Stegostoma tigrinum: one gene and its partners. Each later gene encodes a partner of the first gene's protein in a complex. Links are inferred from orthologs where the notes say so. Each region holds a gene or a part of one and is shown in the gene's direction. Other genes may lie near its edges.

What was found.
Region 2: the proteins of rgs7b (region 1) and guanine nucleotide-binding protein subunit beta-5 are in contact, whole or in part, in a cryo-EM structure (PDB 7EWP), measured with the Homo sapiens proteins. The link is inferred for Stegostoma tigrinum from reciprocal best matches to the Homo sapiens genes RGS7 and GNB5. Residues at the interface, in NP_001351815.1 of Homo sapiens: Pro19, Leu22, Val23, Lys26, Val30, Ile72, Val76, Glu77, His80, Leu81, Leu84, His88, Val207, Asp213, Ile214, Lys215, Lys216, Leu258, Gln261, Ile262, Trp265, Gln266, Gln268, Leu269, Arg271, His272, Arg273, Leu274, Lys275, Met276; in NP_057278.2 of Homo sapiens: Leu57, Glu60, Ala61, Glu62, Leu64, Lys65, Leu68, Glu71, Lys74, Leu75, His76, Asp77, Val78, Glu79, Leu80, Val83, Leu90, Phe93, Arg98, Arg99, Leu109, Lys117, Arg118, Ser134, Phe135, Trp149, Met151, Leu167, Tyr197, Ser206.
Region 3: the proteins of rgs7b (region 1) and gpr158a are in contact, whole or in part, in a cryo-EM structure (PDB 7SHF), measured with the Homo sapiens proteins. The link is inferred for Stegostoma tigrinum from reciprocal best matches to the Homo sapiens genes RGS7 and GPR158. Residues at the interface, in NP_001351815.1 of Homo sapiens: Gln35, Ile43, Ser55, Arg109, Phe110, Thr112, Pro113, Tyr114, Phe115, Lys134, Thr136, Lys140, Ala141, Arg142, Leu143, Leu145, Ala146, Asp147, Ala150, Leu153, Gln157, Trp164, Phe168, Met169, Gln170, Glu172, Ala173, Gln174, Lys176, Val177; in NP_065803.2 of Homo sapiens: Leu507, Lys508, Phe510, Leu511, Arg513, Thr514, Tyr595, Tyr598, Ala599, Thr602, Val603, Pro604, Ile714, Arg715, Leu718, Lys719, Tyr722, Leu725, Glu726, Tyr728, Lys729, Arg730, Met733, Ile734, Thr735, Asn736, Asn737.

What each region holds. Positions count from the first base shown.
Region 1 is NC_081362.1:75,958,214-75,966,468, forward strand, and holds the start of rgs7b (regulator of G-protein signaling 7), read left to right. Parts: upstream 1-5,018; 5' UTR 5,019-5,249; coding exon 5,250-5,272; intron 5,273-5,716; coding exon 5,717-5,843; intron 5,844-8,255. UniProt on the Homo sapiens protein: GTPase activator component of the RGS7-GNB5 complex that regulates G protein-coupled receptor signaling cascades.
Region 2 is NC_081386.1:20,114,454-20,122,237, forward strand, and holds the start of guanine nucleotide-binding protein subunit beta-5, read left to right. Parts: upstream 1-4,702; 5' UTR 4,703-4,803; intron 4,804-5,231; exon of another isoform or gene 5,232-5,249; intron 5,250-7,784. UniProt on the Homo sapiens protein: Enhances GTPase-activating protein (GAP) activity of regulator of G protein signaling (RGS) proteins, such as RGS7 and RGS9, hence involved in the termination of the signaling initiated by the G protein coupled receptors (GPCRs) by accelerating the GTP hydrolysis on the G-alpha subunits, thereby promoting their inactivation.
Region 3 is NC_081355.1:121,447,622-121,456,100, forward strand, and holds the start of gpr158a (probable G-protein coupled receptor 158), read left to right. Parts: upstream 1-5,397; 5' UTR 5,398-6,006; coding exon 6,007-6,878; intron 6,879-8,479. UniProt on the Homo sapiens protein: Metabotropic receptor for glycine that controls synapse formation and function in the brain. Acts as an atypical G-protein coupled receptor that recruits and regulates the RGS7-GNB5 complex instead of activating G proteins.

The sequences.
Region 1 (8,255 bases):
TCCCCCCACTGCACCACACAACCAGCCCAGCTCTTCCCCCCCACCCACTGCATCCCAAAACCAGTCCAACCTGTTTCTGCCTCCCTAACCAGTTCTTCCTCTCACCCATCCCTTCCTCCCACACCAAGCCGCACCCCCAGCTACCTACTAACCTCATCCCACCTCCTTGACCTGTCCGTCTTCCCTGGACTGACCTATCCCCTCCCTACCTCCCCACCTATACTCTCTCCACCTATCTTCTTTACTCTCCATCTTCGGTCCGCCTCCCCCTCTCTCCCAATTTATTCCAGCTCCCTCTCCCCATCCCCCTCTCTGATGAATGGTCTAGGCCCGAAACGTCAGCTTTTGTGCTCCTGAGATGCTGCTTGGCCTGCTGTGTTCATCCAGCCTCACATTTTATTATCTTGGAATTCTCCAGCATCTGCAGTTCCCATTATCTCTGATACTATTTTACTCTCGCCTTGTAGTTTCCTTTATTAAGGGTCAGCATCATAGTCTCTGAGTCAAAAGCCTCACTCTCCATTTTGATAAAAATATTGCATCATGTTATGGCTGCTCTTCCCCAAGGGGTCTTGCATTGCTCGATTGCAACGATTCCCTTCTCATTACACAGCACCCTGTCTAAGATGGCCTGCTCTCTAGTTGGTTCCTGCACATATTGGTTCATAAAACCATGCCATATACAGTCCAGAAATTCCTCCTCTACAGCATTGTGGCTAATTTGATTTGCCTAATACATGTGCAGATTAAAATCACCCATCTTCCTAGTTCCATGTATTCTGCCTTTCGGAATGCATCCCTTTTTTTTACCAATATTCCCTTCTCACATGCATCTCTAATTTTCAGTTTCATGCCATTCTCGATATTACCATTCCAGTATGACACCTACTAATTTTTTTTATCCCTTGGTATTTCTCAACTCTACACATACAGACTCCACATTGTCAGAGCTAATATCCTTTCTCACTGTTAACCAGCAATGCCACTCCGCCACCTTTTCCTTTTTGCTGGTCCTTCCCAAATACTAAATACCCTGGGACATTCAGTTCCCATCCCTGGTCACCCTGCAGCCATGCCTCTGTAATCCCAGTTATACTGTATCTATCTGCATGATTAGTGTATCCACTTTACTGCAGATGCTCCATGCATTAAGGCACAAAGCCTTTAAGCTTGTCCTTTTAATGTTTGTCTCCTCCTTATTTTTCTCAATATCCTTGTTTGAATCTTGTTTTTGATTTCTCAGCCTATCGCTTTTCTTATTCCTTTTTCTAGTTTTTGTTTTTGTCCCTGCTGCCTCCTTCACTGAATTTATACACACGTTCCCAGCCCCCAGCCTATTAGTTTAAACCCTCCCCAACTGCTCTAGCAAACAGTCCCCCCAGGACATCAGTCCCTGTCCTGCCCAGGTGTAACCCATCCAATTTGTGCAGGTCCCACCTCCCCCAGTATTTGTCCCAATGCCCCAGGAATCTGAAACCCTCCCCCTGACACCACATTGCAGCCACCTATTCATCCAGTGTATCTTGTCAGTTCTCCTCTGACTAGTATGTGGCACCGGTAGGAACTCTGATATCACTGCCTTTGAGGTCTAATTTCTTAACGCTCTTCCTAGCTCCATGTATTCTGCCTTTCGGAATGCATCCCTTTTTTTTAACCTATGTTGTTAGTTCCAACGTGTACCACGACCACTGTCTGTTCACCCTCCCCCTTCAGAATGTCCCCAGCCTGCCAAATTGAGCAAGAGGAGCAAACCAAGACTTTGAGCTCTGTTCCCATGGTTTACCTCTTTAAATTAAACCTTGGAGAGTGCTTTTGTTAGATTAAATCTAATCCAGTTACTTGTGGTCCTTCTTTCCTAATCAGTGTGCTATCCTTGCAGAATAGAAGTCAAAAAGAGTACTATAAGTGATTTACAGCAGGTAGGACAGACACCAATCACTGAAAGTATTTCCTTAATGCCATGGAGCGAAGAAACTTCACAGGCATCAACAGTGTCCAACTGTTAAAACTGAACGCTTTCACTGTAAAACATAAGAAACTTTTAGAAAATGAGTCAAAGTAGGATACAGCCGTAGAAAAGGAAAAGACCAATGAAATACCCAAACAAAGTGATAAATGAGGTGGAACAATTTCCAGTAAAAGTCAAAACCAAAATTTTCCTGAAGTACACTGTCATCCAGACCAAATATTTCGGAAAGCAGACATTTATGTCAATGAATGGCTCACGAATTTCAAGTTTGACATGACAGAACGTATTATAGTATTGATTTTGGGCTTTAGTTGATGAACATTGTTTGCAACAGCTGACAGAACTTCAACTGTAGGGTCTAAAGATATGCTACGAGCACCTCTCCAACATAGAAGGCAACAAATTCTAGAAAACGTATATGTACTTCATTACCAGGAATTCTAAGTTGGCCCCAATTATATTTAAAAGCTAGAAGGGGTAATCAACAAAAGAAAGAAAATCAAACAAGAGGTGACAACTGAACAGTACAAACCTCTCAAGACAATTCAAGTAGCTGACTTGAGTCAGACTGCAATGCTACAAAGTGAACAACTAATTACAATGAATCCAAGTTACACATTAGATGCTGAATTGACTAAGAAAGGTCAGGTTCAAGTAGAATATCTTCCAAAGAAGAATCCTCAACAACCATAATGGATATTAGAGCAATCAAAAAGTAACCTTCAAGCAATGCAACTCAGGAAGTGAACAGAATAGTTTCACCAATGGTTGAGTCACGGAGGGCAAATAAGAAAATCAAAATGAATGAACCATATGAAGTGGAAAGTTTTTCTACTTCAGTACATGTGGATTGAGAACAAAAGTCCACTGACACTAATTCAAGTTGTGGTGCATACAGCTCCATGGAAGACACCAGTAAGAAAAGACAAGAAACGTCTAAAGTTCAAGAATAAAGGAATTTTCTGTAGCAGGGTTGATGTCTGTAATGGAAGAAACACAATAGATTAAAGAAAACAAAATCTGGTTCAGAAGAGAACCTTGAATCACAGACCATCTTTGCAGGTCTAAACAGAACACATTAAGGGAATAGTGTAACCTCCAAATTGGCTCAGTTTGTAAGACTTGCTGTTACTGATAGGATAATTATAGTAAAAGTTATTATATAACAATGTATAACAATAATAGCTACAATAAAAAGGTTTGGTAGAGATGTTACATATTGGCTGAAAGGGTTAACGCTTGATTGAACACAATTAGCAGCACCCACAATTATGATCCCATGAGGATTTGGTGGAAGATTAGAGTTGGATCTCATCAGTGACAATTCTTTGTACTAACGTGCAGCCTATCCTTACAACCTGTAAATAATTATTGAGATGTAATAAACTATATCTCGTTTACTCCACAGGAGTCTTCTGATTAGACCAGATGATGGCTTACTCTCGCACACACGTAAACACCAAAAGAACCCACATTTAGAAAACACAACTGCAATGCACACAAGTATTAGGTTAGTTTATTTAATACACCCCTTTATTTTGAAAGTGCTACCTCATTACTGATTTTTCCACACAAAGTTATGCCCATTTATTCTATCCCCCGATACATACTGAAGCTAAGTAACTATTTAACGTTGCTGCCATCTCGCCATTGCTACGATGGCGTTATTCTGTCTACTTAATTCGCAGGCCCGTAAGCCTTCAATCCTTACTTTGGTTCCTACTCACACAATTACATCCTGTTTTATGGTGAACAGGAGAGATTGCTGCAGAGAGGGATCGGTACTCCACTCACTTAGTGTTTAACAAGCTTTTCAATTTCCCACCTTGTAGTTCTACTCACTACCTTGCCATCGATACTTCTTGTCATGATTAAAATCACCCTGTTTACCCTACTTCTGCTTTCCGCCCCGCCCCCATCTTAACTTCATGCCGTTGCATATTCCCCGTTCACCCCTTCCAGTGGGACAGGGTTCCCATCCCGATTCAGGTAAAGATTCTTAAGCAACTGGCAGACAGGCAAATGAGAGATACAGTCGATGAGGAAGAGGCAGAGAGAAAGGCATGTGGTTTGGCTGGGGTGTCACTGACAGAATTATGTCGGCAATGCCACTGAACTTTAAAAAAGCAGCAGCTTTTTAAATAAACTAAATCTGTAGTTTATTTACAGATCTTTTTTGATGCTAACAACATGCATTTATGTAACGCCTCCAACATTCCAGATTTCTAGTACAGTTTACCGGAGACCGAGAGTCTCTGGGGTGAGTTTGATCAGCAGGACGGCGAGTGACTCTCTCAGCAGAGAGATCATAAAATTGTGAGGTAGGTTTCAGTTGCAGCATCTCTAACACGAACCCCACCTCACTTGGCTATAACAATCTTCAAGACCCTGCTCTCACACTTTGCAAGCCCATTCTCCGCGCCGCCGCATTCATGGTCATCAGAAATCTCCTCTCCCTTCCCAGTCACCAACGTCCACCGTGCCGCCCAACCTCCTCCCCCAGCTGGAAGTGCGCCGAATTTTATCTCACAGGAGCGGGTCACCTTGCTGTTTGCAGTTTCAAGACACGCTACACCGCGCGGACTGCGAGAAACTCCAGCCCCACGAACATTATTCGCAGGGGGCTGGCCCATCGCCGCGGCTCAGCTCCCGGTTGCAGGAGCGCGCGCGCCCGAGCGCGTCACGCGCACCCCGCCCCGCCCCCTATCCATCTCCCCAGAACGCGCCCGGGGAGCGTGGAGCGCGGGCTCGCTTTGCAACACATTTCCCAGGAACAAGGTTGAAAGACACAGACAGACAGGATAACAGAGAGAGAGAGAGAGTTGGGGGGAGGGGGGGTGGGGGCGGGAGGAAAGCCGAGCCTCGGTGCTAAACCACCCGCAAGCCCTTTCAAATGAATCATCTGAGGCCGGGATCTGGAGCGGATAAGAACATTACAAGAATAATAAGGAGGTTTCTGCTCCTGGCGTGTGCAGTGCGCCGAGCTTGAGGTAAATCACGGTACGGGGGTCGTCGCTAGCCTTTTCTAAACAGAAAAGAGAATATTTCAAAAGACAGCGAGAGGGGGAAGAGAAGGAGAAAGCAAAGCCTTAAGCCGTGAGACGCGGTGCAGTAGATAGTATCCCTCCGTAGCTGGCCACTGTGGCCGGCCCTGGTTGCTGTCTGTGGTACTGAACCTGTTTCAGGGCTCAGTCTGGCCGCTCTTTCCCATCCGCCAACCTTGTGCACCCTTTCCCCGACGCTGCATCTGAATGCACAGCCTCCCCACACCCAAGGCTGCATGAAAACATTTGATGGAATGAGGTATTATTGAGGAGACTCCGCTGCATGCAGTCGCCTAACGGTACAACGCGGGGAACGTGCACTGAATGTACACTTGCCGTGCAATCCCGGTCACATTTTTCTTTGCAATCTTGCGCGCATTTCTGTGCATTTTATTGAGAACTGCTTGGATGGCTTATCCTCATGCGCTTTCCATTTCTGCGATGCCTTGTCGTAGGCATAGCTCCGCGCAAAGATCGCATGTGCTTTTGTGATGGCTTTATCTTCCAAATCCGCGGTCATAAAATCATAAAGGGATTTAGAGTCGAAGTTTACACGAAGTGCTGCCTGCACCCCTCCTCCCTCTTGTGTTGGTATATGTGCATTGCCCTCTGCTATGTCCAGATTTGACATCTGCGGCTACTTCAATCCTTGTACTAACGTGGCGCCTGACTTTATCTTTTCTAATTTCATTTTCTTGCTTAGTGAAAAGTCGAAAGTCCGAAGGCAGCTGAAGACAGATCTTGCGATGGCTCAAGGAAATAGTTGTGGACAGAATGCCAGTAACAACGGCATGGCAGACGAATCGCCGAACATGCTGGTGTACAGAAAGGTAGGCGTGTGTGGGGAAATGCATGTAACTTGTGGCGGAAGATGCGGCGTCTTCTTCAAGCTACGACGTGCAGCACGTTATTTGGGACCCATGATGTTTGTAGTTTGCCTTGCTTACGGCCGTAATTGTGGCCAGGACGAATAAGATAATCATTTAGCTGGACGTAATCAGGTTCTTCTGTTCCCAATGTGTCCCAAGTACGCTTGGGGCTCGGGGCGGGCTAGGTTTAAGCTAACTACCGATTGTTGAATTGTGGTTCTGGTCAGCTGTAGAGAGCTTTCTTTCCGAGGGTATTTATTTAGGTCTGTTTGTGTGTGTGTGAACGCTGCTGGGGCCAGGGGCTTGTCAGCAGCGGGTCTCAGTCCCTTACAGGCACAATGCACCGGTTTTAGGTGACGGCACCAAAGTGACAGGTGGCTGCAAAGCAGATCTGAGCCAGAGCTGGCACAGATCTTAACCTCGCCACATGCCCACAAACAGTGGGCTGCAGCTAGCACGTGTTCTGTGTGAACTCGCAAGAACGATGAGTTCGGTTTAATCCGGTTGTCCTCGTGAATCACACGCATTTTTAGAGCAAGGCTTTCCACAACTGCTGTGGCTGCTGTAGACTGTTGGGATGAATTAAATATAGCCTTTCTCCCTGGCATTGGTCGAAAATACTCACACAGGCATTTAAAGTGGCAAAAACACTCATATTCAGTACCGCACGTTTTTAGTGATGATTTTTTTTAAAAAGTAGGTTTTACTTTATAAATACCAGCTGAACGAAACACTTTGAAGACGGCCCAACATGAACTGAAATACACAGCCTTGAGATTAGATCTTCCTGTACCAGTGGAAATAGTCTTCCCAGGGCCACAGAGATCACTGGTCTGAAATTACACAGAATTGAGCTGGAACAGGCAAGTAGATGGAGGGACCAGGTCAGTGCAGATGTAGAAAAAACATTCAATAGTAAACACAGCTGTTATGCAACTCTTTACATTTCCTGAAAAGGCGAATTTGTGGTTTCTTCCATATCATTGCATGCTTTTCATTTCGTATTGAATACTTTAGTGGGGAAATGTTGGAAGTGTAATTGAGTGGTTATCACCTATTGAACTGCAACATGAACACCACTTCCATGTCAACATTTAAACCTGGCGTTTCTGTTTTATAGGCAGGGATGCTATCTACGGAGTCAAATACTTGCTGTGATTTATTGCTTTACGTTTTGCATTGCGTTTCAAAGGCAATAGGAGCGCAGCTACGGTTATTATAACCGTAGAATATTCGAAGAATATTGAGTTATTAGAACTCAAAAAAGAGCACTGCTCTGTATAATTTGCATTCGTAGTGTTCCTGATTTAAGATGTGACCGTTCGTATTAATGATTCACTAGTGAAAAAATGCAGAATGGAATTTCCCAAGATTAGTCACTAGAATAAAGTTCGGTATCACTGCTCGGTCTATCAGGTGACTCACTTGCAGATACATTGTCAATGACTGGCATGAAATCCCTGTTGACAAAAACAGAGCATTAAGATTCTTCTGTAAGAAGTTATTAATAACACTTTCTTTGCAGAACTGCATGACTGTCAAACAAAAGATGATGCACTCCTGCAATTTTCCTGTTAATGATTTTGAGAAACCTAATATCATTAGTAGGAACAGTACATGAAAAGTAAACCATAAAACAAAATAATGCTTTTACACTTTGTAAATAGCTGAAAAGCTGCTCAACTTGTGTAAATGACTAACGTTAATCTCGCTGTGATGTGCATTTTTGTTGACACGTGAATGAAATATTTAGAAAGCCCACTTTACAATCAGGCCATGGATGTCCCAGTAGATGGCAGCATGGAGATGGAGAGCAAATGAATGAATTTCCATGAGTGACAATTGACCACTTCTTTCAAAATAAAAATGGTCATCTATGGGATGCATGTGTGTTTGAACTTTCGATTTATTATACATCAGTAAACAATATGATGAATATCGTTGTTTGCAATTCCATACATATATTATACATATATGTAGGGTATAATTAACATATGAGAATTGAATCTTACAACTTACCAACAGGTTCCAGTAGATCTTGATCTTGTGTAGGTATTAAGTAATATTGATGTAAACCATGAGGTATTTTAGGCTTAACATTATTAAGTTACATAATCAGATGAGGCTATAAATAACTGGGACTATAGGAGCATCAGAGGAGCAGGAAAGTCAACATTCTAGGTTTACACCCATCATCCGGAATTTTGTATTTGCCCTGCTCCTCTGCTGCAGTCTGACTTGCTGTGTTCCTCCTGATCCACAACGTATTGATTCTGACTCCAGCATCTGCAGTTCTTGCTATCTCCAAATGTATGAGCTAACCTGGAGACATAGAAGAAATGCTTGAAATGATTTTTAAAAAAAAGAATCATT
Region 2 (7,784 bases), on another chromosome or scaffold:
TACAGATTACACTATCTGCACCTGGGCTTTTTCAATGGCAGGCGACAATGTGTGTACTATGAAAGCATGACATGACACTGTGTCAAATTTGCCTGCATTTTTCAATAGCTTCAGCAGGATTGGATCCAATGGTGAGAAATACTTAAGAAAAAGATTGCAGAGGTGAAACAGTGCAGAAAGAGTTAATGGTCGTATAAGTGTCACAGCTTATCAAATATTTATTAGTTGTGTACACTATTTGTATGGATCCTTACTGGCAAAAGAGACAAATTAGCTCTCAATGACTGTCAGGACACTAACGTGATATTATAGACTTCAGAATTTTAATAACAGCTCATTGACTGAATGAACCAACAAAAGATAAGCTGTTTCACACACACACTAATAAAGACAAGGACTGACTTATACAGGAATTGCAAGTATTTGGCACGTCTGGGAGTGGGGGCTACATAGAGAAAACTGCTTTGATACCTGCTTGACTGGATGCTTTATGCAACACGGGTAACTAACTGATTGCCCTGTAGAAGAATTTAAGGAGGTAATCATAGGAAAGCCGTGTCTTGCCAAATGTAACAAGGAACAAAGAAATTACTTTTGTTAAGGAATCCAGCTGCAGTCTTGCAGTAATTTGGTGAAAGGACATTTTAAGCAATATCAATCAATATATCACCTCAGAGACTGAAGGATGAATATCTGCATAAGAATCAAAGACCAGAACAACTCAACAGCAGAACTTAACAGAACAACATTACAGAAGGACTGAATCCTGGAGACTTCCAGAGACAGACCATTTTTTGGTTGAAGTCCTGGCCAGATTTCATCATTAATTCAGGTAATCACTAAGTTGGATCGCAGGCTTATACTTGCTTACTTAAGGGGTCTTGTGTTTAGTTGCAACGTGCAATAAAGTTTGAATTATTGTTTCAGTACTTGATTTTATATGAGATTTCTTTAATAAGTAGCTGAAATGTGGTGACTTACCCACAGCACCAAGAAGCTGAGAGTGATCTTGGGTTGTGTGTTCAAACATTCTTGAAATTGGGTGTAGAGGTTAATAGGGTGGTTTAGAAGACACATCCTGGTCTTTATCAGTTGAGGTGTAGATTATATGAGCAGGGATGTTATATTGAACCTGTACAGAACTTTTCGTTAGACCACAAATAGAGTACCATGTGCAGTTCTAGTTGCCTCACTATGGGAAGGATGCAATTGCATTGAAGAAGGTGTGGCGGAGATGCACCAGAGTTTTGCCTGGGCTGGAGCATTTCAAAGAATCCCTGTAGCGTGGAAGCAGGCCATTCACCTCATCAAGTCACAGCAACCCAACATTCCACCCAGGCCCACCCCTCTTACACTACCCTATAACCCTGCACTTCCTACGGCTAACTCACCCAGCCTGCACATCTTTGGACTGTGGGAGGAAACTGGAGCACCCAGTGCAAACCTGTGTAGACATGGGAAGAATGTGCAAATTCCACTTGGACAGTCGCCCGAGGGTGGAATCAAACCCATGTCCACTGCTGTCTTAACTACAGAGCCAGAGTACTGCTCCAATTTCAGCTACAGAGAGAGGCTGGATAAGCTCGGGGGTTCTTATTCTGGAGTAGAGGATGTTGACAGGGGCCTGGTTTGAGGTTTACAGGATTATAAGGGGCATGGGCAGGGTAGGTAGAAAGCTGCTGTTCCCCTTCGGTGAATGGTCAAGAACAAGGGGGTACACTTTTTATGTTAAAAGGAAGTATTTAGAGAAAATGTTTCTTTCACCAGAGGTTGGGGTGGGGTCTGAAATGGGTTGCCTGTGAGGTCATCTCACAACCTTTTTTAAAAGTACATGGATGAACTATTGAAATGCCAAAACATTCAAGAATATGGACCTAGTATGCTAAAGTCATCTTAGTGGAGGTAGTGGTGTAGTTTTTGGTGATGTACTCAATGGGCCAAAGGGCCTCTTCTGTACAAAGATCCTATTATTCGATAAGCTTGAAACAATCCAAACGTACTCCATGATTCAACTGGAAAATACACCAGTGTCACTGCCTTCATCAGTGGATCTCGAATTGGAATCACTACAGCAAAAGAGGGAAAATAGGCTAACTCATATTCTATACTATATAGAACGGACATTAACAGAAACAAATGCCTAGTGCTTTCTGACAATGACAAACCACAAGGGAACGATCCACACAAACTGCAAAGACATCCCCTTTTGCAAGATGGTATACCAACAACCTATTTTCCCCACAAGGGCAACCTCACAATGGAACAAGCTGCCAAAAGAAGTAATCACAGCCCTTAGTGCTTGAATCTCGAAGACCTACGTTTAGATTAATAATTTCATTTTTATTACCAGGGTTACCATCTCAGCAATTGAGGCCTTGATTAGCCAGAGCTACCCATTTAAACATTGGTACAATTAGTCCATGATGATAACACTAGTAAAGCAGGAACAGTGGACCTAAGATTAGTCCCTTAGTGATTGACCCCGTTGTGAAGAAAGGATGACATTACCAAACACTAATAAAGTGAAACATTGCTTTGGGATTAAAAATAGGGTTTTTTTTTTTACTGGAGAGCAGTTTGATATTATCTAGTTTCAAATTCCGCTGACCTGGTCCCACTTCTCTCCTGCCCTCCTACATGGACTGGCACTATCATTTTATTTAGGCCATTAAATAATTAGACTGGTAAGTTGTACTGGCTTACTTTAAATGGAACAGTGACCAGATGAGTTAATTCTCCTCTCAATTGATATTTACAATTTTAATTTCATAAACTGTTGTTGGCTTGGGCAATAAATATGATTTGGCTTTCCTAAAGTCAGTAATTATTGCTCAGGATGACCACTTCAAATTCAAAGAGAACTTACCCTATTAGTAGGGATGTTACTACGATATGACATTTTGACTAATTTATTCAGGAATCAGCAGTCATGGACTGTAATACTCCCTGAAAACATTGGGTCACTAAAATTTACTGGGATTGGAGGCAGTGCAGAGAAGGCTCACTAAGCTGATATCGGGTATGGAGGGACTTTCACATGCAGAGAGGTTAAGTAGACCTGGGCACTACATCTTAAAAAGGATATATTGACCTTTGGAGAACTGTTGGCTTACAATGTAGGTTTACAAGAATGCTACTCGGACTTCAGGGATTGTGAGGGGAGGTTAGACGAATTAGGCTTGTTTTCTCTAGAATGTAGAAGTCTAAAGGGTGATCTTATCAATGTCTTCGAGACATTAACCGGAAAAGACAAGGTAGACAAAGATAAACCATTTCCACTTATCAGGGTTTCTAGAACTAGGGAACACAGACTGAGAATTAGGGTTACACTGTTCAGGAGTGATATTAGGAAGCTCTTCTACAAACAAAGTGTGGTAGATATTTTGAACTCTCTTCAAAAGGGCAGTGGATACAGAATCAGTCAGTCGAGATAAAAAGAAATTAATAAAACTGACCAGATTACTTAAAAGTTGCACATTATTTCACAGGCAAAGATGTGGATTCACCAGTTGCTTTTCTGGAAATGTTGATCAGGGTCACCTGTTTAGTTCACTCAGGTGCAGGTAGTAATACTTCTAACTCAACTTTCTACTCTCTGGGCTTTCAAAAACCTGATCTGGAAAATCAGGCAGGGCGCTTTCAAATTTTCATGCGGTGCTATCAGTAGTAAAACTCTTCTCCCAGAACAAAATTTTCAAAAACTTTGGATCCACCTTCATAGGCAGATTGTCTTTTCACTCCACCCTCTCGTTTATACTAAGGGATTCCCGATGCAAACAGGAACCCATTTCCAATCTCTTCAGATGCCAACAACTTCCTATTTGCATCACTTGTTTTAATCAGAATTTCAGGATTTGTAATATTTTCCTCTTGTGCTGTAATTTTAAAATATTTGGTAGTCTGATAAAACTTTAATTAGCATAATTTCTACACAATCACCTATTATCAGGGGAGACAGTGGCATTGTGTGATGTCACTGGTCTGATAATCCAGAAGAGCTGATTAATGTTCCTGGGGCTTGGGTTCCAATGCCCACCATGATAAATCATGAAATTAATATCTGGAATTAACAGCAAGCCTAATGGTAACATGTAACCACCAACAATTGTTGTGAAAACCCATCCAATTCACCTTTTATTGAAGGAAATCTACTATCTTTGCCTGGTCTGGCTTACATGTGACTAATGTGGTTGACTTTTAAATGTCTTCTGGGCAATTAGGGATGGGCAATAAATGCTAGTTGAGTCAGAGATGACCACATCCCATGAATTATATTTTTAAAAATGTAAATACTCCACCCAATGTCTAAGTCAACAAAGTTGTTCAGACCATCCCTGGTCACTGATATATTCAAACTTGTACATTCAATTAAAATATACACCTTTTTTAAAATTTATTTTGTGGATTTGAAATTGTAAAGGAATTTTAAGGACGATTGACAGTTTTCAGATGCTGTGTTGCGTATTTGGAAAACTAAACCATGTGATCAACTGGCTGATCTATTTAAGACGTCAACTGAGTCATGAATCTCTTGAACAGCTAATCATTCCAAACATTCCTGAGACACACAAAATATCCAATGTATTTAGTTGTTAGATTCCTTACGTTTCTTGTAATAAAGTGCAAAGTTACAGTGACTATAAAAAGGCTCTGTCGAAAGGTGTCAGTAAAAATATTCAAAATGACCTGTAACCCTTTAAATAGATTATCACTTAGCCACTGAAGCTGGATTAGTTTCTCAAATCCTCAGTCTCTCAGAGCCTGACTTCAGCCTCCCATCTGCATTCTTCCTGGAGCATTCAGGTATGTCTGAATTTAAACTCAATGTTCAAATGTTGGCATTTTACATGCAGATAAATGTTTCAGATGTTCCCATTCCAGCATATGTTTGGAATTAATTGATTTTCAGAATTAAAAGGCTAAATAACAACCTGTAATGAGGAATTCGTGATGTCATCTGTGTGACAGTTCAAATTGTTAAACTTTGCAAATATTATACATCTTCTTTTATCTGAGTAAATCGAGTATGGATTTTGGTGCTGAACAAAACAGAAAGTGCTTAAAATAGTCAATAATCTGGATTTATTTGGAGAGAGACAAACAGTTAGCATTTTGCTTTGAATACAAGTCTTCTTTCAGATTATATTCAGTTTAAAATATTGACTCTGTTTGCATTTCACAGATGCTGTCGCACCTGCAGAATATTTCCATCACTTTTTCTGCTTGTATTTTGGATTTCCAGTATCTAGGTTATTTTTCTTTTATTTCAGATTTTAGTAGTTCTTTGCATATGATGAAATTGTGTTTATAAACTATCAGGAATTACTGAAAATTCTCAGAAGTTGGACATCTGTAGAGAGAGAAATTAATAGAAAGGTTCTGATGAGAGGTCATTGACCTGAAACATAGGGTGGAATCTTGTTGACGCAGTGAATCGCTTGTCAGCTGAATAGAGGGCCAGTAAGAGACCCTTGCTGTTCCTTCCTCTTTTAAGTGACGTGTTTTTAACAGATGCCAACAGGAGTTCCCAGAAGAACTGGTCATATGACCAGTTGGTGCACTAAATACAAGGGTATTTCTGCAAACACTCCCCTTTTGGTTAAAAAAAAGAAACATGAACACTATCATTTGCAGTTATAAGTTATCCAAGTTATCCGGTATATATGTTTAACAATGAACGTTATCATTCACGAAGGGACCAGGATGCGTTAACTCTAGTCAGTTCAACTGCCATTAGTTTCTACATATATAAGTAATCGGTACATTGAGTAGATCCCTGCTTCCCTAACCTGTTCTTCCTCTCACCTATCCCCTCCTCCTACCTCAAGCCGCACCTCCATTTCCCACCTACTAACCTCATCCCGCCCCCTTGACCTGTCCGTACTCCCCGGACTGACCTATCCCCTCCCTACCTCCCCACCTATACTGTCCTCTCCACCTATCTTCTCTTCTATCCATCTTTTGGTCTGCCTCCCCCTCTCTCCCTATTTATTTCAGATCTCATAATTGTTTGTTTGGGCATTGCCGATGGCTGTTCTTTTGCCTGCTCATTCTTAAGGTGATGTTCCTTCACCAGTGAGTGTTGATCCCATATGGTAGTGTGTGGTAACTGTTGTTACTAATCCATTTCTATTGCTGGGGAACAATGAAACTCCAGGGCTGAACGTTGTCCTGTACTCTGTGGAGGTGATGAGATCACTTCTTCCTGGTTTGCTGCCTGTAGTAAAGGTGTTTGGTCTCCAGTTGTATGCATGTATCTGCGGCTATTTTGACAAATCTCGTTGTTGATATTCATTGTGTGTGATCAAGTTAAATGTAGCTGTCCACAAGTCCCAATTGGCTATATGAACTAACCATTGTTGAGAATGTTGAATGTTTGGACTCTGACTGGCTCTCCAATGCTCAGTTCTGGCAACTACTTGGCAGTTTTATTAAAATGAATTTTTGCTTCCTGTCATTTCATGTTTATATTATACATATTACTGCTTCCGGCATTGATAGTTTTATTTCCACTATTGGAAGGATAATTTGTGTGTGTTGTGACATTAGCCTTTAGACTCTGCTCAAGGATTGCCTTGTACAAGACTGCGCCAGATTTACTTGATTTCTTTCTGATCCCTTTGTCTCGGCCTTTCTATTTGACTGCGGATAGTGTACAGCCAATGTATGATGGTGAATTTCACAATCCTGTAGGAAGCGAATGAATGTTTCAAGCATGAAATGAGGGCCGTCATCACTCATCACAATGTCTGGAATGCCATAACAATTGAATTGTATTTGACAATCTCACTGTTTGCTGTTGACTTGGTTAGTCTTTTTTCCAATAATCAGAATAATAGTCAACAGTGACAACATAAGTAATTCAGCCAGCTTCATCCCTGGTCTGTCTGGGATGTCGCACATCATAAGGATCGCTTGTGTATCACTGGCTGACATCTGTATAAGCTTGCTTTGCTTTTTTTCTAGCTCAACACTTGTGTGAAAAGTGATTCCAGTTTCTTGCAGTTAGGGTACTAATTCCCCCACATTGAACATTCCTCCCTATCTTTTGTGTGAGTAATATAAAATCATAGAATCCCTACAGTGTGCAAGTAGGCCATTCAGCTCATTGAATCCACACTGTCCCTCTAAAGAGCGTCCCACCCGCCTACCCTTTCCGCAACTCTGCATTTCCCATGGCTAACCCACCCAGCCTGCACATCCCTGGACACGATGGGTAATTTAGCACAGCCAATCCATCTAACCTGCATGTCTTTGGACTGTGGGAGGAAGCAGGAGCATGAGGAGAATGTGCAAACTCCACGCAGGTGGTTACCTGAGGGTGGAATTGAACCAGGTCCCCGGCGCTGTGAGGCACCAGTGCTAACCACTGCGCCACCGTGCTGCCCATGTATGCACGTTCTGACATCTGTCTGTTACTTTTCCACTGGCTTTTCTGCAACTATTTATCCTTTATTCCCGAAATACTTTTCTCGTTTGGCCTTGGACGTCAATCAGCTTAATTCAACCCATCATCTGTTCTCCCATTTATACGCTGTAGCTAATGGTTCACAATCTCAAAACTGCTGCCATGCCGATCACTTTTTTGTGAGATGTTTCCCCTCTCTCAGGACATGTGCTTTCACTGCAGGATCTTTAATGCCTGGCTAGTCCTATCTGTGATAAGATTAACTTTTAGTTGTCCAATCTCAATGGATCCAGCTATGTGTAACAGTATGGTCACATACTGACCAATTGTCTCCATCTCCCTCAAAGCTCTGAAATTCAACAAATACCAAACATAA
Region 3 (8,479 bases), on another chromosome or scaffold:
CTGAAAACATTTTCAATGCTTTTTCCAGCAAGTAAGAATCCTCACTATTCTTGGATTCACTCCAAATTTCCTAAGTGCTGCTTCTTGCAAATATATTTTTCATAGAAGTATAACAGTGTCAGAAAACATGTTACTTCAACTCAGAGGGAAGACAAACTATATGCATTTATTATCATTACTTTTAAAGAGGTTTATCCTTTATTTATTCTGACATTGTTTTCTTTTAAAATGAGATCAGTAATGCTTACAAGAAACCCTGAAGCTCTGTAGCGTAAAATGGTACAGATAGCTTGTTGTCAGGATACCTTTTCATAATATTTACCGTGATTATTGTAGCATTAAGTGGAACCAGTTCAGGTACCTTACAAATAAAGAAATATGATGGGCCTATCTTTGCTCTCAAATGTAGCTAATAGTGATTGTACCATTTTATGCCCGACTTCAGCAAATGGGCATCCAGATGTGACTATGCCAGTCTACCATTAGCATAATACAAATGTAGTGACTGCCTCAATATTGAAAAACATTGAGTAGCATGAATCTGCTGTATTTGGATGGCAGATATGAATTAAACATGCTATATGAATTGAATCACGTCATTTAGAGTCGAACTTACCTGTCATTTATGTGAGAAATGTTAATGCTTACCAATAAAACTCTTTGATACTGAAAATTAACAATTAAATGTATGGAGTTTCATTCATTTGGGTATTAATTATGTTGAGATTTTAAAATTGTTGAAGAAATAAATTTTTCAAAATGCTTTTTTCTCTCTCTGTATTTTTTGTTTTGTACTTGATTCAATATTTAGCTCTTGCATTTTTCCAAGAATACTTTCTGTTCAATCCTTGCACTGTTTTTCGTGGCATTCATCAATATGATTGATCAAAGAGACATGCATTTGTTTGTGTCATTCATTCAGATCTCAGTCTTCCCCAATCTCCTTTGTCCTTCTACCGCAATATTATCAACTCTTTAAGGAACTTCACAAGCAAATTGTATAAAACTCACCACGTCAAAGGGTAAATCTAACTAGTGGCACCCTACCATAGGAGAAGCTGATCCAATCTGTCTGATGGTACATATTCAATTCATTGAATGTATCACAATGTAAGTGAGCAACGGCTAAGATAAAGTGGTTAGCATGGCTGTCTCAGCACCAGGGACTGGAGTTTGATTCCAGACTCTGGCAATTGCCTGTGTGGAGTTTGCACATTCTGCCCGTGTCTGCATGGATTTCTGTCGGTTTCCTCCTGTAGTTCAAAGATGTGCAGTTTGGGTAGATTGGCCATGTTAAATTGGCCGCAGCATTATTTTCAACATTTATTTAAAATAATACTTCTTTGCATTGGAATGGTGGTAGTTTCTCATTGTTTCAGCATAGTTATATGCAACTCCATCTGCCGAATTTAAATGCTAGCTTTTTGTGTTTCATGGTTTCTGTGCTATAGCTTTCTGCAGCCTTTCTCCATTTAACAGTATTCACCTCTTCTGCCCTTCCTGCCACAGTGCATAACCTCGCATTTTCCCATTTTATATTCTATCTCCCCAAGATTTTTGCCCACTTGCTTTATGCCATTCACAAATTTGGGTATAGTGCATCCACTTACCTCATCCAAACCATTTATACATGTTGTAAATAATTAAGGATCCAGCACTGATCCCTGGGTACTGTGCTAGTTATACGTTATTATCCTGAAAATGCCCTTCTTATCCTAACTGTCTATCTTCTATTAGTTAGCCAATCATCTTTCTATGCTAATGAGCTACCACTAACACCATGGGAGGAGATTTTGAAGCTGGTTCACCTGCACATCCGCCAATGTGGTATACTGCATCTGCTGTACACGGTGTGGCTTCCTCTACATTGGGGAAACCAAGCGGAGGCTTGAGGACCACTTTGCAGAACACCTATGCTTGGTTCGCAGTAAACAATTGCACCTCCCGGTCGCGAACCATTTCAACTCCCCCTCCCATTCCTTAGACAACATGTCCATCCTGGGCCTCCTGCAGTGCCATAATGATGCCACCCGAAGGTTGCAGGAACAGCAACTCATATTCCGCTTGTGAACCCCGTGGCCCAATGGTATCAATGTGGATTTCATCAGCTTCAAAATCTCCCCCTCCCCCCACTGCATCCCAAAACCAGCTCAGCTTGTCCCAGCCTGCCTAACCTGTTCTTCTTCTCACCTATCCCTTCCTCCCACTCCAAGCCGCACCTCCATTTCCCACCTACTAATCCCATCCCGCCCCCTTGACCTGTCCGTCCTCCCCGGACTGACCTATCCCCTCCCTACCTCCCCACCTATACTGTCCTCTCCACCTATCTTCTCCTCTATCTATCTTCGATCCGCCTCCCCCTTTCTCCCTATTTATTCCAGAACCCTCTCCCCATCCCCCTCTCTGATGAAGGGTATGGGCCTGAAACGTCAGCTTTTGTGCTCCTGAGATGCTGCTTGGCCTGCTGTGTTCATTCACTTTGTTATCTCGGATTCTCCAGCATCTGCAGTTCCCATTATCTCTGGCCATAAACAAAACTTGTGATCTTATTTAAATTCAACTTGCAGCTGGACAGGATGAAGATAAATGGCAGCAGCTAGATGTGCAGCTAGACTTTTTAAAATTGCTTTTTGGATGTGAGCATCACTGGCAATATCAGTATGATTGCCATCCTTAATTACCAATCAGTAGCTAGTGGTAGGCCGTTTTCCTGCATTACTACAGTCTGCATTTCTGTACTTTGACCAAGCAACTAGGCAATAGTAGTAATTTTCCATGTCCAGATAGGGTTAAATGGAGATAAAAAGGTGTGGAGCTGGATGAACACAGCAGGCCAACCAGCATCTTAGGAGCTGGAAAGCTGACGTTTTGGGGCTAGACCCTTCATCAGAAAATGGGTTAAATGAAAATGTGGAAGTGAGTATTCACATGTGCCTGTTGCCTTTGTCATTGTGAATGCTAGATGCTGTGCCTTTAGCATGTGGATGGAGCCATGGCATGGTCTGCAGTGTGTCTTGTAGATGGTACACACTGTTGCCATCTCATTGAGGGAGTGAGAGCTTATCAAAATGGGTCCTTTGTCAGAGATGGTGTTTGGCTGATATTGTTGCAGGCATGAGAATTGTTATTGGTGGAAAAGTCAGGAGGTGACATTGGTTGTCAGGAGGTGAGGTACTCAGCTCAGAACATCCAGTGCCTGACTTCTTCATGGGGCCACACTATTTATGTGGCTAGTCCAATTAAATTTCTGGTTGATGGTGAGGCCAGTGTATACAACAATAGCAATGCCATTGAATATGAAGGTTATCATGCTTCCCGGATGATGTGATGATATAACACAGTATTTACATCTGGTTTTATAATCAATCATTTCTGGATAGATAGACGTACAGGATCAGAATACTTGTGCATGAAACATGCTCATTTCGCCTCCAGTGTCTGGACAGTATCATATAACCTGCTAAATCTTCTACCCCAGCCTTTCCATGAGCTTTTAAATAAAAAATCACAATTCCTTTGAAATCTTTGGTTTCCTTATGCCTTGAGCTGTTCTTTTACTGAATGTCACTTAAAAAAAGTTGTTTAACGTACAGCAGGCTATATAAAAATCTGTATCAGAGATAATAGGAACTGCAGATGCTGGAGAATCTGAGATAACAAGGTGTAGAGCTGGGTGAACACAGCAGACCAAGCCCAAAACGCCAGCCTTCCTGCTCCTAAGGTGCTGCTAGGCCTGCTGTGTTCATCCAGCTCGACACTTTGTTATCGCTATATAAATAAAAACCTTTTATTATCTTTTTGATTGAACATGTTGAAAGGAAAAGGAAAAAAATTGTTTTGCAGCCCACATTCAATCACATCTATCACATCAGCTGTACATAATATGATTTAACTAATATAGGCTTGAGTTTTCATTAAACCAACTGGTTTTAGTAATTAGATGAACACAGCAGGCCGAGCAACACCTTAGGAGCAGGAAGGCTGACGTTTTGGGCTTGGCCTGCTGTGTTCATCCAGCTCTACACCTTGTTAGGAGCAGGAAGGCTGACGTTTCAGGCCTAGACCCTTCTTTAGAAAGTTCTTCATTTCTGAGGAAGGGTCGAGGCCCAAAACGTCAGCTTTCTTGGTCCTCTGATGCTGCTCGGCCTGCTGTGTTCATCCAGCTCTACACCTTGTTATCTCAGATTCTCCAGCATCTGCAGTTCCTACTATCCCTGGTTTGAATGATGAACCTTTACAGTATGTAGTATTATATCCACAAGTTCGTACTTAAACCTACTTGAGCAAAGTGTGCTGCTTAATAGTCTCAAATCATCGTATTCCTGTGACTACTGCTTAATGATCGTCGCTTAGCGTTCGAAGATGATTTATAAAACTCAGGTTATTGTTTAGCTAAAACACAATGTCATGACTGATTTCTTATCACGGAGTAAGAGAAAGTTGTATTTCTTGCGCAACATGTTAAATTTGAATGATTGCCTATAGTCGACATTTTCCATCTTTCAGGGCTGCACAGTTTGCTGCGATAAGAAATGAACAGCGACGGGTTTTGCGAAGAATGTCCGCATTCAGGAGACTTGCCACAACGCGAGCCTCCGAGGTCAGTCACTGTTGAATGCTACGGATCACAGTCGAGGCGCTGTTCTTTCAGCACCAACCGAGAGTTGCCTCTCGTATCGCAGCTCATTTGTGCATTTTTTTGAAAGGAAAAAAAGAGCAACATCGTGCTTAAACTGTTTCGGGGCGATAAAATAATTGGTCAAATAGGACACTGCAGGGTCTGGCATCTTATTATGAGTTGAAGCTGAAATGGAAGCTGAAAGTAGCGTCGCACACAGCGCACAGGAGGTTGCAGACGAAGGGAATTCAGGGAGTCGGCCCAGAGAGATCCGTGTCCCGGGGGCTTTCCGCCTGTCAGCCCCACACGCCCTCGACCCCCACCCCAATTCGCTTAAACGAGACTCGGCCTCAATGTGCCGGGTGGAGTAAGGATAACGACAAGAGGGCACCACACTTCCTCCGCCAAACCCCGCCCCACCACCGTCATTGGTTACGCCCACCGTGACAAGCCACGCCCATCCAACCCAGGCCCGCCCACTACGCTCAAGGCCCCACACCTGCGGGCGGAAACCCCCGCGCCCCGCCCACTTAGGGCAGCCCGGCTGCATCAGTCTCCGCCCCCTTAGCGTTGAGCCTCGCCCCCGCACACACCTTTGTCCAATGGGTGACGGACGCCCCGCCACACTCCATGATTGACAGGCTCTCGCACCATTTAAACATCGGCAGTGCGCCGATGACGCGTCGGGCCGTGTGGGAAACAACCAATCGGAGAACTAGGCGGGGCGGGGGCGTTTCCAATCGGGTGGTGCGGGGCGAGGAGGGGAGGGGCGGGGCTCCGTGTCTGGGCCGGCGGCGTCCGGGCAGACTCACTGGGCATTGCACACAGGGCGGGGAAAGTGTACGCTGGATACCGCGTCCTGGTGATAACACCCCCACACCCTGCCCGCCCCCAGACCACCCATTCACCCACAGTGTCCTCGCCGCTCGCTGGCTGCACTCACTTCCCTTCCCCTGCTGCAAAAGTGGCTGCGAGAGATCCTCCGGCGGGCGATGGGAACGGGGGAAAGTCACCCGGACGGAGAGCACTTCTGGCCCGAGTCGCTGTCGGTGGCGGAGATACTGCGAGGCTGAAGGAGACGCTTGGCGAGAGCGGCGGCTGTGCAGTCGACTGGCATGGGGAAGTGAGAGGAGAAACAGCAGATCAGTGAGTGAGCCGGGGCTGCGGATCCAGAGACAGAGAGAGAGATTCACCCCGGGGGCTGACATCTCAGCACCGCCGCGATGGGTTTCCCTGGGACTGTCTTAGGCGATGTCGAGATGACCTGATTCCTGGCGCCCCGCTTCCACGTTCCTGTCTTTGCTGCCACAGCCTGACTTGAAAGGGCTCGGCGTTTGGTGGTGGGGGAAGTGAAGGTCTGGGGTAAGCCCGGGGGCTCGGCAGGCGAGATGGCAGGTTTCTGGCTGCCTCTAATCCTCCAGCTCGGAGTCATGGCTGGTTCGATCCCCGGCTTGGGGGGCAGACGCACGGCGCCAGAGATGGAGAAAGTGGACACCTATGAGGAGCAGCGACCCGTCTACGAGAGACACCAGTTCCCGGACGCAGCCGACACCGGTGGCGGTGGGGGCAGCTCGCATTCATCCCATCACGAGAGCCTGCCCGTTCCGGTCTGGGCTTTCCTCCACACCGGGGATCCCTCAAAGCTTGGCTACGCTAACTGCACGAAGAGGTACCAATTGTCAAACCTGAAAGAGGCCTCTCACCCGATGCACATCCACCCGTCACTCCACAGTGCCATGGACACTGTCGTCCATGCCAGCAATTTCTTAAACATGATCTTACAGACGAACGGGCTTCGGGAGCTGACCGTCAAGGAAGACATCGAGTGGTATCACGCCCTGGTCAGGAGTATTCTGGAGGCTGATCCCAAAGTCCATCGAGCGGTGGTGACTTTCGATGTTCAGCCGTTCACATCCCCTCCTCAGCTCTTCCTCCAGGCCACCCGGATAGACAACCAAATCTTCCTCCAGGATCTCTCGGCCAGCGCTCGCCACCTGGCAAACCACACCATCGAGACGGAGTGGTTTCACCGCCTGAAGTATCAGCCTTCTGCCGAGGCTTCCCTTCACAGGAAACTGCTGAGAGACGACCTGAGGGCCAGCCCCAGGAGGAGAGGCACGAGGTATCTGGTGGATAAAACTCACATCAAGTGGTCGGCGCCCTACCTGGAATGTGAACACGGCAAGTACAGCCCGCTGTGGCTGCTGACCCTCTCCACCTCCTTCTATGGGCTGAAGCCGGATTTCCAGCCCGAGTTCAGGTGAGCACCGCCTGGCTGTCCGAACTCACGGGTCATTTCGGAGCAAGATTCTGTCAGTTGTCGGCCCCAGCTGTACTAATCCCCAAATTTTCTAACTCGTATAACCAAGGTGGTTACTGTAACACGCCTTTCACTGTATTAAATACTATATTCATGTTTGCGAGGCTGCCTATTTCTCTCTGATATAAGAACGTAAGTAGGTGTTTGATCTGATTGCTTGTTCCGCACCGGGGTTGGGCTGGGGGCGGGGGTCGTGGGTTGGGTGGGGGTGGTAGTGACATTCATGTTGGTGCATGTTAGCAGTTTTTGGAAATTGAAACAAAAGAGAACCTTTTTAGAAAGTGTTCTCGAAGTGAGCTCCCCTTTATACGCGGAGCGAGAGACAGTGAGAAGAGACACTCCTGTATGGGGACAGCTCACAGATGACTGTCCCACAGGAGAACTCGGACGCGTCTGTCTAAGTGAAGATGCTGTTAAATTCTGTCCGAGAGGCTCAGCGGGAAACCTTTTGGGGATCATGACATGTCCTTCCTCTGCATTTGTAAAATAAGAGCGCGTTGTTTATCTCCTGGAAGAAGAGGGAATGCCAGGTCCAGGGTTTGTGGAGACGGTAGATGCTGAATTTGATAGCAGGGTGGCTCGTTTGATCCTGTCGTAATAACACGGCTAATGTTGAACTTGCACGCTTTGGCAGACTGTTTACTATTGCTATATTTTCCAGATATGAATGGGTTCCTTCACATGACGTCAACTCGGTTGAAACCATTAGCAGCAGAGTCCTAGTCTCTGTGTGATGCATGTCAGTGTCTCAATGTCCTGCAGCAAGCTGCCGAGGGTGGGATCAGTCCTGGATAGGGACCAAACTCGGTTCATAATTGCATTATTAGGTTTCTGCCAAGGTGCCGGACAATGATGTTCGCTCTCTAAGTTCGCATGTTTACCCAGACTGGTGCTTTCCCCTCGCTGCAATGGAATTGTATTTCCCCCTGTAATGTAACGTATTCTGATCAACACAACTGATTCATTTTCACGTTGACGCACTCGCCAGATTGCAAAGCGCCCCAGGAGTCAGTTTCGGCATCTCCAAAGAAATGAATTTTCGCTTTGTGAGAAAATTGATGCCACCCCTCTTCCCGCTCCCATTCTCCGCCCCTTTACAATCCCGAACCTTTTAACCACAAACATTAATGCGCCTTGCAAAAGGCCGTTAAAGTTAAACGAGAGGTTCAATCTGAAAGTAGCTCGAAATTCCTTAAAAAAATGCTCGCTTGAGAGTCGCGGGTCAACTGAGACCAAGTGAAATTGGCGCTTGTGCCGCTTCAGGCATCCACTGATCGTGAACATAGTTTGAGCTGATTTGGCACCGCTATATTTGCATTTTCACAATATTTTGAAGTACAACTGTCATCATTATCTCTTAATGCGATTTAAAGTGATATTTATCCCCAGTGGATTATTTGCTCAAAGGAATTTGGACATGAAGCGAGGGCTCACTGAAACTAGACGATGGCAATGAGAGCCAGAAGTTTCTATGACAGTGAGCCTGCTTACACGGTGCCTGTCAATGAAATTCCATTTCACCTCTTGGTTTGCGAATTGCT